Arabidopsis thaliana: one gene and its partner. The protein of the gene in region 1 interacts with the protein of each later gene in a pairwise test. Each region holds a gene or a part of one and is shown on either strand. Other genes may lie near its edges.

The links. Proteins that work in one complex are often made in the same cells at the same time.
Region 2: the proteins of AT1G31300 (region 1) and AAP3 interact in a protein complementation assay, tested with the Arabidopsis thaliana proteins (one large-scale study listed by BioGRID).

The regions. Positions count from the first base shown.
Region 1 is NC_003070.9:11,191,679-11,196,953, reverse strand, and holds AT1G31300 (TRAM, LAG1 and CLN8 (TLC) lipid-sensing domain containing protein), read right to left. Parts: upstream 3,330-5,275; 5' UTR 3,116-3,329; exon of another isoform or gene 2,974-3,115; intron 2,717-2,973; 5' UTR 2,647-2,716; coding exon 2,506-2,646; intron 2,415-2,505; coding exon 2,326-2,414; intron 2,236-2,325; coding exon 2,097-2,235; intron 2,009-2,096; coding exon 1,934-2,008; intron 1,726-1,933; coding exon 1,604-1,725; intron 1,506-1,603; coding exon 1,430-1,505; intron 1,344-1,429; coding exon 1,284-1,343; intron 1,134-1,283; coding exon 999-1,133; 3' UTR 557-998; downstream 1-556. Other genes in the region: AGO3 (ARGONAUTE 3), read right to left, coding at 4,637-5,275.
Region 2 is NC_003070.9:29,074,324-29,079,031, reverse strand, and holds AAP3 (amino acid permease 3), read left to right. Parts: upstream 1-1,641; 5' UTR 1,642-1,779; coding exon 1,780-1,873; intron 1,874-2,023; coding exon 2,024-2,257; intron 2,258-2,341; coding exon 2,342-2,435; intron 2,436-2,541; coding exon 2,542-2,756; intron 2,757-2,849; coding exon 2,850-2,989; intron 2,990-3,080; coding exon 3,081-3,439; intron 3,440-3,536; coding exon 3,537-3,831; 3' UTR 3,832-4,153; downstream 4,154-4,708. Other genes in the region: AT1G77370 (Glutaredoxin family protein), read right to left, coding at 4,390-4,445, 4,540-4,708. UniProt on the Arabidopsis thaliana protein: Amino acid-proton symporter. Stereospecific transporter with a broad specificity for GABA, tryptophan and both neutral and basic amino acids. High affinity transport of cationic amino acids.

The DNA.
Region 1 (5,275 bases):
ATCTATAAAAATCTATTCGTGTGATTATAAATTGTTTTACTGTGACTGATATACAAACAAAAAACTTTAGATTATATGGTTTATTTATGTGGTTATACACCGATTAACTTCTAATAATTTGTGTAAAAATGTCATTATTCTATCACTATTCGGATCAAAACCGGTAGAATGAATAGTGTTGACATTTTTTTTTTTTTTCTAATAAGAAGCACTATTCTTTTTAACAAAAGAAAAGAAAGAAACACTATTTTTTTTTCTTATAGAAACAATGGAAATTAAAGTAAACAAGACTAAATACAGAATCAGCCACATAGCTTTGTTTGTATCCGTACATTATCCTAACTCATTGATGTCGACATACGAATACGCAATTCATGTGACATATTGTGCAGTTGTGTTCACTGAATGGGCCTATAAGCCGACGATAACCACGAACAGCTAGACATATAATGGCCTTCACGAGCCGAGTTTAAATACATGTATTCCACCAAACTCTACACTATGTTATTTTCTGCTAGCTGTTATAATGTCTAAACTTTGATTCTTTATCTAACTATTTAATTACAATCCCTATGTTGATGTATGTGCAATAGTTATGTTGTTGTTACTGAGAATATTGAACAAAAAAATAGTAAACCGGTGACCAAATGTTTTCTCTTCCATAGAACTTGAACACCAAACAGTTGTTCATCATTTTGGTAGTACTGTATCGAACTCCGGTTAAACGAAATGTAGCAGAAATTGAATCAAAACCCTAGAACCAAAACTATTAGAATGAAAACAGAATTACATTGTATAATGAGAAAACGTAAAGAAGAGACTTGAATTTTGATCATTTACAGAGTCAGAGGATCGTATCATTATCATTTTTGTTTTTTCGTTTTTCTTTCTTCATCAGACAAAAACTACTTACACTAGAGAGACAGGCATATGTCAGAGGGACGAAGAAGTAAGGAGATGATGAAGTGAAGAAACGGTGTGAGGAAGACTCACCAATCTCAACATTCACATCTCTTTGCTAATGTTTTCTTTACCCCTCTCACAATCTTCCCGAACCATATCAAGTTCATGACACCGAGCGCAGCTGGTACGCCGAATACCAGAACGTAACCAAAGATGTGCATCCTCATGACCTACCCACAAAACAAAGTAATTCCATTTCAATCACACCATAAAAAAAAATCCGGAAATGAAACCATAGTGATGTATTAATTTCATGGGGAAGGTTTTGAAGCAATTGGGTATCAGCATAATCAATAAAACCGCTAGATAGTGAGCTTTACCTGGTTGTAGTGGAGATAAACATGATAAAACATGTATATGAACAGTAGAATTCTAGCAACCTGACATGAAAGTGTTTGAGTGATAAGTAGACACATAAATGCCTAGTATCAAAATGAGTCGAATGTTGATTAGGATTTGTAAGTACCAGCCAAGCCAAGAAGATGAAAACGCCATTAACAACGTATGCCAATGATTTTTTCATACCAGCCGTGTCCAGGTACCTTCATAAGACCACCGAGACAATCCACTTTTTTGTCAGGAGAAAGGTTGCGAACGTGATAAGTTTTGTATATGGTATAACGAAGAAAAGAGGAAGTACCATCTCAAGTTGATCTCTGGGGTTGTAATCTCGGAGATGAGGACCATGTAGGTATATAACTGTCCTTCCCCGGAAAATAAAGAGTAGGCAACTGCAACCCCCGATAGCGAGTGATGCACAATCTGAAATCAAAATGTCAACTTGATCTTAGTTTTGGGCTTTTGGCGACTGGCGTTAGCTATCTTTACACATTAGTAATGTTGAGCAATGTAGCAAGGCAAGTATATAAGCCTTGAAACATCAACAAGCAGAATATAAGGAGGATTTTGAATATCTTTGGAGAGAAATCACTAGATAGAGTAAAGTGTTTGGACAAGAACAAGTACTTACATACTCAATTCCACCCAAAGAAGGATATTTCCAGAAGATCATCCCAAGATCAGCAAGGAAGTAACCAATAGATATCTGCAAATCATTAATGTAATAATGTTGAAATTCTTCTCTCATAGACTTTTACATTAACGTTTTTGGATCCACTAAAATGAGTGCTTACCCCTAAACCAAGAGAAGAAAGTCGTGAGCTCCGGAAAACAACAAGATCATTATGCCACCTATCGGAAAAGAGGTCGGACCAGAACACAAAGTACAGCGACATAGCCGAAATAAAAATAGCATGAACTGTCGAGATACCACTGCCAAACAATACAAAACGATTCAAAAACCTAAATAGACACACACACACACACAACATGAAAAAGAGTTAACAATCATCAAACACAAACCGGTTATTCCATTCGATTCTTTGAATTTTCGTGAGGATGATATAAGTCTTAGAATGTGAGTTGCTGATAAAATGACAAAGATCATAAACCTGCAAACAAAACAAGAAACGTAACCATCATTAATCAATCGTCCCTAGATCTACAGAATCATGAAAGTAACAAACAAAAATCCAAACTTACCACTTTGCAAAGGAAAATGCCGGTGAGGACAGAAGTGTAAGGAATAAAAGGATCAGCTAAGAGATAATTCTTAACCAAATGCTGAGCTTGATGATGATAAGACTTAATAGCACCAATCGTTTGCAAAGACGTCGTCGACATTGCAAGATAACAAAGATTCTGGTGCTCTTTAAACTCTTATCTATCGATTCTCATTTCATCATTCTACCACCTACACCAAAAAAAACCATATTGACAAAGAGATCAATCTCAAAACACTAATCTTAATCCACACAAATCCAGAGTTTTTAAGAAATTTCTCAATCTCAATAGATTCAAACTAATCTGAGTTATGTGAATTCGAAAAATGATGAACAGATTCTGCAATCTAACAAAGATGTATGAACAAATCACAAATGAACCCTAATTTCAAAATTTTCGAAACTAACAAAATGCAGATTCGATAGATACAGAGAAGCAAAGCAATACCTAGATTGGGGAAAGAATCCTAAACAAAAGAGTGAAATTAGCAATCGAGGGATAACGAAGCTCGGATTCAAAATCGAAGTCAAAGAGGATCCATTGAACCGATGAAGAATCGCAAAACAAGGAAGAATTTTGAGAAGGGTACCTTAGGAAGAATCTGAAAATTGAAGAAATGCACGCAAAGGAGAAGACTTTAGGAATCAAGGAGGAGAAAACTGAGAGAGTGAGAGAAAAAAGCAGAGAAAGGGTAAATCAGAAGTAGCATCAATTGAAGAAGAAGAAAGCTTTAGCTTTAATCAAATGTGAACGATAGAGAGAAGAAACACAAAACACTCGATCTCTGGGAACACAAAAAAAAAAAAAAAAAACACTCCAGCTGTTGCACGAAAATAAGAAAATAAAAATAAAATAATTGTTGAATTTTAAAGGCTAGTATTAGGTTTAAAATTCATTCTTTTTTTTACATATGCCAAACTTTGTTAATGAGTTGTGGGAAAAAGAAACTCTTACATTTATTTGGCAAGAAAAAAATCTTATAATAATATATGGCTAACTTATGTTAATGAGTGGGGTAAAAAGAAAAATGAATTTATTTTGATAAAAACAAAAGAATATACGAAAAATGAATATATACATAAGAAAATAACATGAAACACAAAAAGATGATAAAATGTGAATAAGATAGAGTATAGATTATTATAGTTCGATTCGTGTGAATCACTTCGACTATCATGTCTTTTTCATTTGGTTTGGTATCACTTCTCTAAAATCATTTTCTTGTTGCTACTTTTTATATGGGATATATATCACACATATATATATATAGGAAAAAAATGTTAGTTACCTTTTTATAGTTTTCAAGAAACATTTATGAGGAATCTATCATTACATAAAAATTATAAAATGAAAAGATAGATTTGATGAAATATAGGAGGGGACTCTTGAGAGTCAATGTAGTAAATAAGATTCTGCAAACAACCAATCAATGAGTATATAATACATGAAATTAAACATTGAGAAATCGTGCAAAATCCACCTTAATGATTTGGTATAGCTATGGTTCATGAACCCAAGAAATATCAGTAAGGTCCAATAAAATAAAATAAAAACAGAGAGCCCATAACTGATATTATATCGAAAACAAGAGCACCATTATGTTTTTTTTGTTGGAATGCATATGTAGTAGAGATGCATGATCGACGACAAAAAAAAAAAGAAAAAAAAAAAAAAAAAAAGTAGAGATGCATGATCAATTGATCATTACACAAAATAACCTTATAGATAATGTTCCACATGAATAGATGGTTTAGAAAAAAGGAATTTCAGACACAAGGCAGAACATGTAAACCCAAAACTAGAGTACTCATGTCTGAGTTCTCAAGCCCTTCACAAAACAGAGAAGTAGCAAAATATGAACTATTTATTGAATCCAAAGTCTGAAAACTATAATAAAATACCATAACATGACATAGTTTCAGCTCTAAAGAGCATTACAATACCAAATACAAACTATTTTCAACACACCAACAACGAAAAGGAAACAAACAAACTGCATATCTAACGATTAGATTCACGCACAAACATCCTTTCTAATCAGAAAAAGGAGTAAGAACTGCGTTAATGAGACGTTCTTATTTAGATAAATATTTTAAGATCAAACTTTTTTTCAGACAAAGAACATAAAGTTCTCGATGCCTGCGTGAACCTTGAAGATCTCTTTGTCCTCCATTGTGACAGAAGAGGATGAAGAGGCAACCGAGGCAGAAGACGAAGACGCTCCACGCGACTGCTTAGAATTCTTCTTCATTAAGCTTGCCTCGTAGTACACCCTTCCTCTAGAAGCAGCCTTGTCAGCATAAGAAACCGGAGGAACCAGAGCGACCGGTTTGGTGCAGCGAGTAAACGTGAAGCACAAGTCAAAGATGAGTTTCTGAATCTGATTCGAGTTGAACCCGATTTCGTCCGAAAGAACATAATAATGAGTTGGTTTGCTTGTACCTATCGCTCCATGTTGACTACAGAGGTAGAAATCATACTCAAACGGGTGAATGATCGTGGTATCAACGACCGTACCTGAAGGCACATTGCCCTTAGCCCTTCCATCTTTGCTAGTTGTGGCGGGGAAGAAACGGGTTTGATGACGTTTCTGTGCCACAATTACAGTTATCTGCGGATTATAGCCAACCTTGGCAAAAACGTCCTTAACATTCTGTAACTCCACATTGAGAACCATATCGAACTGACCATCGCTGACACCATCACGGAATATCACAATCTTGTTAGGTCGTTTCTCGGGGGCCTGAGA
Region 2 (4,708 bases), about 18 Mb from region 1:
TGGAATTGTAAAGAATGAACTAGATTTTAACCCGCGGTACACCGCGGAGACAATTTATTTTTTTAAATTAGTATATATAAAATTTTACAAATTATGTCTATCTATAAAATATTTTTATTTTATAGTTTATAATTGTTATTAAGTAACGTCCTTCTAAACCCGTTCCACCAAACTCGTCCTGTAAAAATAAACCGCGGTACCCCGCTAATTTAAATTTATAATTAAAATAAATATTTTACGGGATTGCAATTGTGTTTTAGTTTGTCAAACAAAATTTTGTTTTAAATAGTTGTCGAAATGTAGTTCAAATTTTGGAGACATAAGATTTAGTGAATAGATAAGAAATATATTTAGTTGCGTTTCGCTCATTTTAAGGGATTGCAATTGTCTTTTGGGTTGTCAAACATTTTTTGTTTTAAATAGTTGTCGAAATCTATTTCAAATTTTGGAAAAATCTGCGTGATATATGGGATTGGAATATATTTCGAATGTTTTTTTATTTGTTAATCAATTTATTGCTAAAAAAACAATAATTAAAAGCCAATGGTAGCCATTGTAAATAAATTCCAACTCCAGGATTTATTTCACAAAATGACTGCAACAATGTATATATAGATTCTATTTTTATGAATATAATTCCCTTTATATTTGGAGACTATTTCCTTTGAATGATGACTTGTCTGAATACAAATCTTCTCGTAAGTCCTTAAAGGATATTTGGTTTCCCACGAATCAAGCCAATACAAGTTTGTGTATGTCATTTATGTTTAAATGAGTTTAGTTGGCAAAGTAATCAAAATATTTCATTTCGAGAAGAACATATAGCTTACACGCCTCATAAGTTAGTTACCTACAGAAACTTATATGGTGGGGTGATATACTTTCGGATTCTAGGTAAGATATAGTATATGTGCGTTACTATTGCTCATACTATAAAAATCACCTTTTGGTTTTGAGTTATCATTTTGAAATCTACACATGATTGCGTGTACTCATTATTTAAAGTCGGCATAGATTTCTCCATATATATGTCATGATTCCATGAATGTTCTTTTAACATCTTAATGCGATAACACTTTACATTGAAATATTCAAGAAAAAACCAAGCTGTTTTCTAAATAAATTTAGTTTGTCCACGGTTAATAAAATTTAAAATTAGCGAAATACGTAAATAATCAAATGATATAACCAAAATGCCTATTATTTTTAAAACAACATTTTATTTTCTCTAATCTCATAAAATACTCTAATAAAATCTAGTTGTAAGTGAAAATAACACTAAGCTTCAAACACACACGTACATGAATGTTTGTTTTTTTCTTTCAAAAAAGCTGAACAATGACATTTTAAGTCCAAATGAAAACGATGGTATCATCTTGGACTTCCAATTTTCCATTGCCCATATTTTCTCTTTTCTTTTGTTTTTATCCAATTGGTATCGAATCATTCATATAAAATTATAAATCATGAAGTCAAATTTTTCAATAGTAACACTTGAGTAATAGTGGTCCTACCAACTTTTTACCAAGACAGATATATTTTTTTTAATACACTTTTTACCTTTTACTGTGTTTGCCTCAAATGAGTGTTTTTACCAGTTTCTGTGTATATAAATCTGCACTCCACTCTCAGTTTATCTTCATCCACAAGACAGTTCTTTAACAAAGTCATTAAACATTTCCCTTACCTTCTAAAGATCAACTCTTTCAAACACTTACTCTGCATGTAACTTCATAGATTGAACGAAGAACCAAAAAAACAGAGCAAAACAAACAAAAGATGGTTCAAAACCACCAAACAGTTCTCGCCGTCGATATGCCACAAACCGGCGGCTCCAAGTACTTGGACGACGACGGGAAAAACAAAAGAACTGGTAACAATGTTTCTCTCTTTCTCTTTAATTCATATTGAGACTTGGTTCTCTAATTATTCAAAAAAATATTAATTTGAACTCGAAACCTGCTCTGATTTAGTTATGTTGAAAAAACGAGAAAGTTGAAAGTTTTTAAATTTTGGGTTTTAGGGAGTGTTTGGACGGCGAGTGCACACATAATAACGGCAGTGATAGGTTCGGGAGTTTTGTCACTAGCGTGGGCTACGGCGCAGCTAGGTTGGCTCGCCGGACCGGTGGTGATGTTGCTCTTCTCTGCCGTCACTTATTTCACTTCTTCTCTTCTTGCTGCTTGTTACCGCTCCGGCGACCCTATCTCCGGCAAGAGGAACTACACTTATATGGATGCTGTCCGATCAAATCTCGGTAAATACAAAACTTCAAAGTAGAAATCGGACAATGGAGATCAGATCAGAACAGAGCATTAACATTTTTCATTGTTCTGTATAGGTGGCGTGAAGGTGACGCTATGTGGGATTGTTCAGTATCTTAATATCTTTGGTGTTGCTATTGGCTACACAATTGCTTCAGCTATAAGCATGATGTGAGTGTTCTCACTAATTAACTCTTAAAACTACGAAGTTAGGTAATGGACCAAATAGGTTTTGATGATAATAAAAAATAAACAAAATTTTGTTTTTGAAAAACAGGGCAATAAAGAGATCAAACTGTTTCCACAAGAGTGGAGGGAAAGATCCATGTCACATGAACAGTAATCCTTACATGATAGCTTTTGGATTAGTCCAGATTCTATTCTCTCAGATTCCAGATTTTGATCAACTTTGGTGGCTCTCAATCCTCGCCGCCGTTATGTCCTTCACTTATTCCTCAGCCGGTCTCGCCCTCGGCATAGCCCAAGTTGTCGGTTCGTTTCTTGAACCATAAAGCTTCTAGGGTCTTAAATAAGAACTTTCATAGGTAAAAAACTAATAGGTTTTATGTGTTTTGGTTTCATCAGTTAATGGGAAGGTGAAGGGAAGTCTCACTGGGATTAGCATAGGAGCAGTAACAGAGACACAGAAGATATGGAGGACCTTTCAAGCTCTTGGAGACATTGCTTTTGCTTACTCTTACTCCATTATCCTCATCGAGATTCAGGTACTTATACCTTCTTTACAAGTCTTGATGATCAAAGCCATTAATTACTGGTCCCATCATGAAGCTTTTTTTATTCTGGGATCTGAAACAGGACACAGTGAAGTCACCACCATCAGAAGAGAAGACGATGAAGAAGGCAACACTTGTGAGCGTCAGTGTAACGACTATGTTCTATATGTTGTGTGGATGTATGGGATATGCAGCCTTTGGAGACTTGTCTCCGGGAAATCTCTTAACCGGTTTCGGGTTTTATAATCCTTATTGGCTTCTTGACATTGCAAATGCAGCCATTGTGATTCACCTTATTGGTGCATACCAAGTCTATTGCCAACCTCTGTTTGCTTTCATCGAGAAGCAAGCTTCCATTCAATTCCCTGATAGTGAGTTCATTGCAAAAGATATCAAAATTCCAATTCCTGGTTTCAAGCCTCTCCGCTTGAATGTCTTCAGGTACAAATCTTGCCTTTAAACTAATGGGATCTGAGTTTTAAACATGATGTGTATGTAATAATCAAAGCTTCTGTGTGGCGTGGAATGGCTTACTCAGGTTGATATGGAGGACAGTGTTTGTGATCATAACGACAGTTATCTCAATGCTTCTTCCGTTTTTCAACGACGTTGTGGGTCTGCTCGGGGCACTAGGGTTTTGGCCATTGACGGTGTATTTTCCAGTGGAAATGTACATCGCGCAGAAGAAGATACCTAGATGGAGCACCAGATGGGTTTGCCTTCAAGTCTTCAGCTTAGGGTGTCTAGTAGTTAGCATTGCTGCAGCTGCAGGGTCCATAGCTGGAGTACTTCTTGATCTAAAGTCCTACAAGCCATTTCGAAGCGAATACTGATCAACTTGAATAGTAGCCAATTCAAAGCGATGACTAAGTCAGTTTTAAACACAATGGATTTATCAAGAACAGTCAAGAGAACCAAGAACCATGAATTTGGGAATTTTGATCAGCTTTTTTTTATATAGATAGAAGCAATAATGCTGTTAGTTCTTCTCTATAATCTTCTCTGTACCCTGAAGGCAAGAATTGTAGTCCTAATGAGTAAATCTTCGATTAATGACAGAGTCATGTGCTGCAACAGAATCATGAACTAGCACCATAATAGTATATTACCATTGTGGTAAAATTTCAATAACAAGTTCTTGTACTTGCTCTTCTTTCCATGATCTGATATTTGCCGTATGAACCATTCACTAAGGCACACAAGTATGGATTATTTAAGCGAAACAATCACCAGAGCAGTGCAGTAACAAAAGATCAAGACTTTATCAATGCCATCATAACTTACATAACTGAGTCATACATATCAATTCGCTTATTCAGTCTACAACTAGCAAAGATTTCTAATTCCTGTAAATCACATACTGTAGATTCCACATTCGAGGTCCTCAAATATCAACTTGCAGCAAGAAGCTTTTGCAACTGACCACTCTCCAAAGCAGCTCCAAGATCTGAAGCAACAAGATAAACAGCCAAGGCTTGTGAGTTACAAGGGAAATTTGGACAAAAGAATGAAACTTGGAGGAGATAGTGAGCTCATCATACCATCTGATCCACCAATATGCTTGCCGTTAACAAAAACTTGCGGGACAGTACGACGACCAACGAATTCTAAAAGCTCATACTGGATTTGATCTCCGTCCTCTGCAAAAACAAATCTCTCAGAAGTTTTAAGAAACAGTTCAATTCTCATAAACAGTTGGGTGAGAAAGAA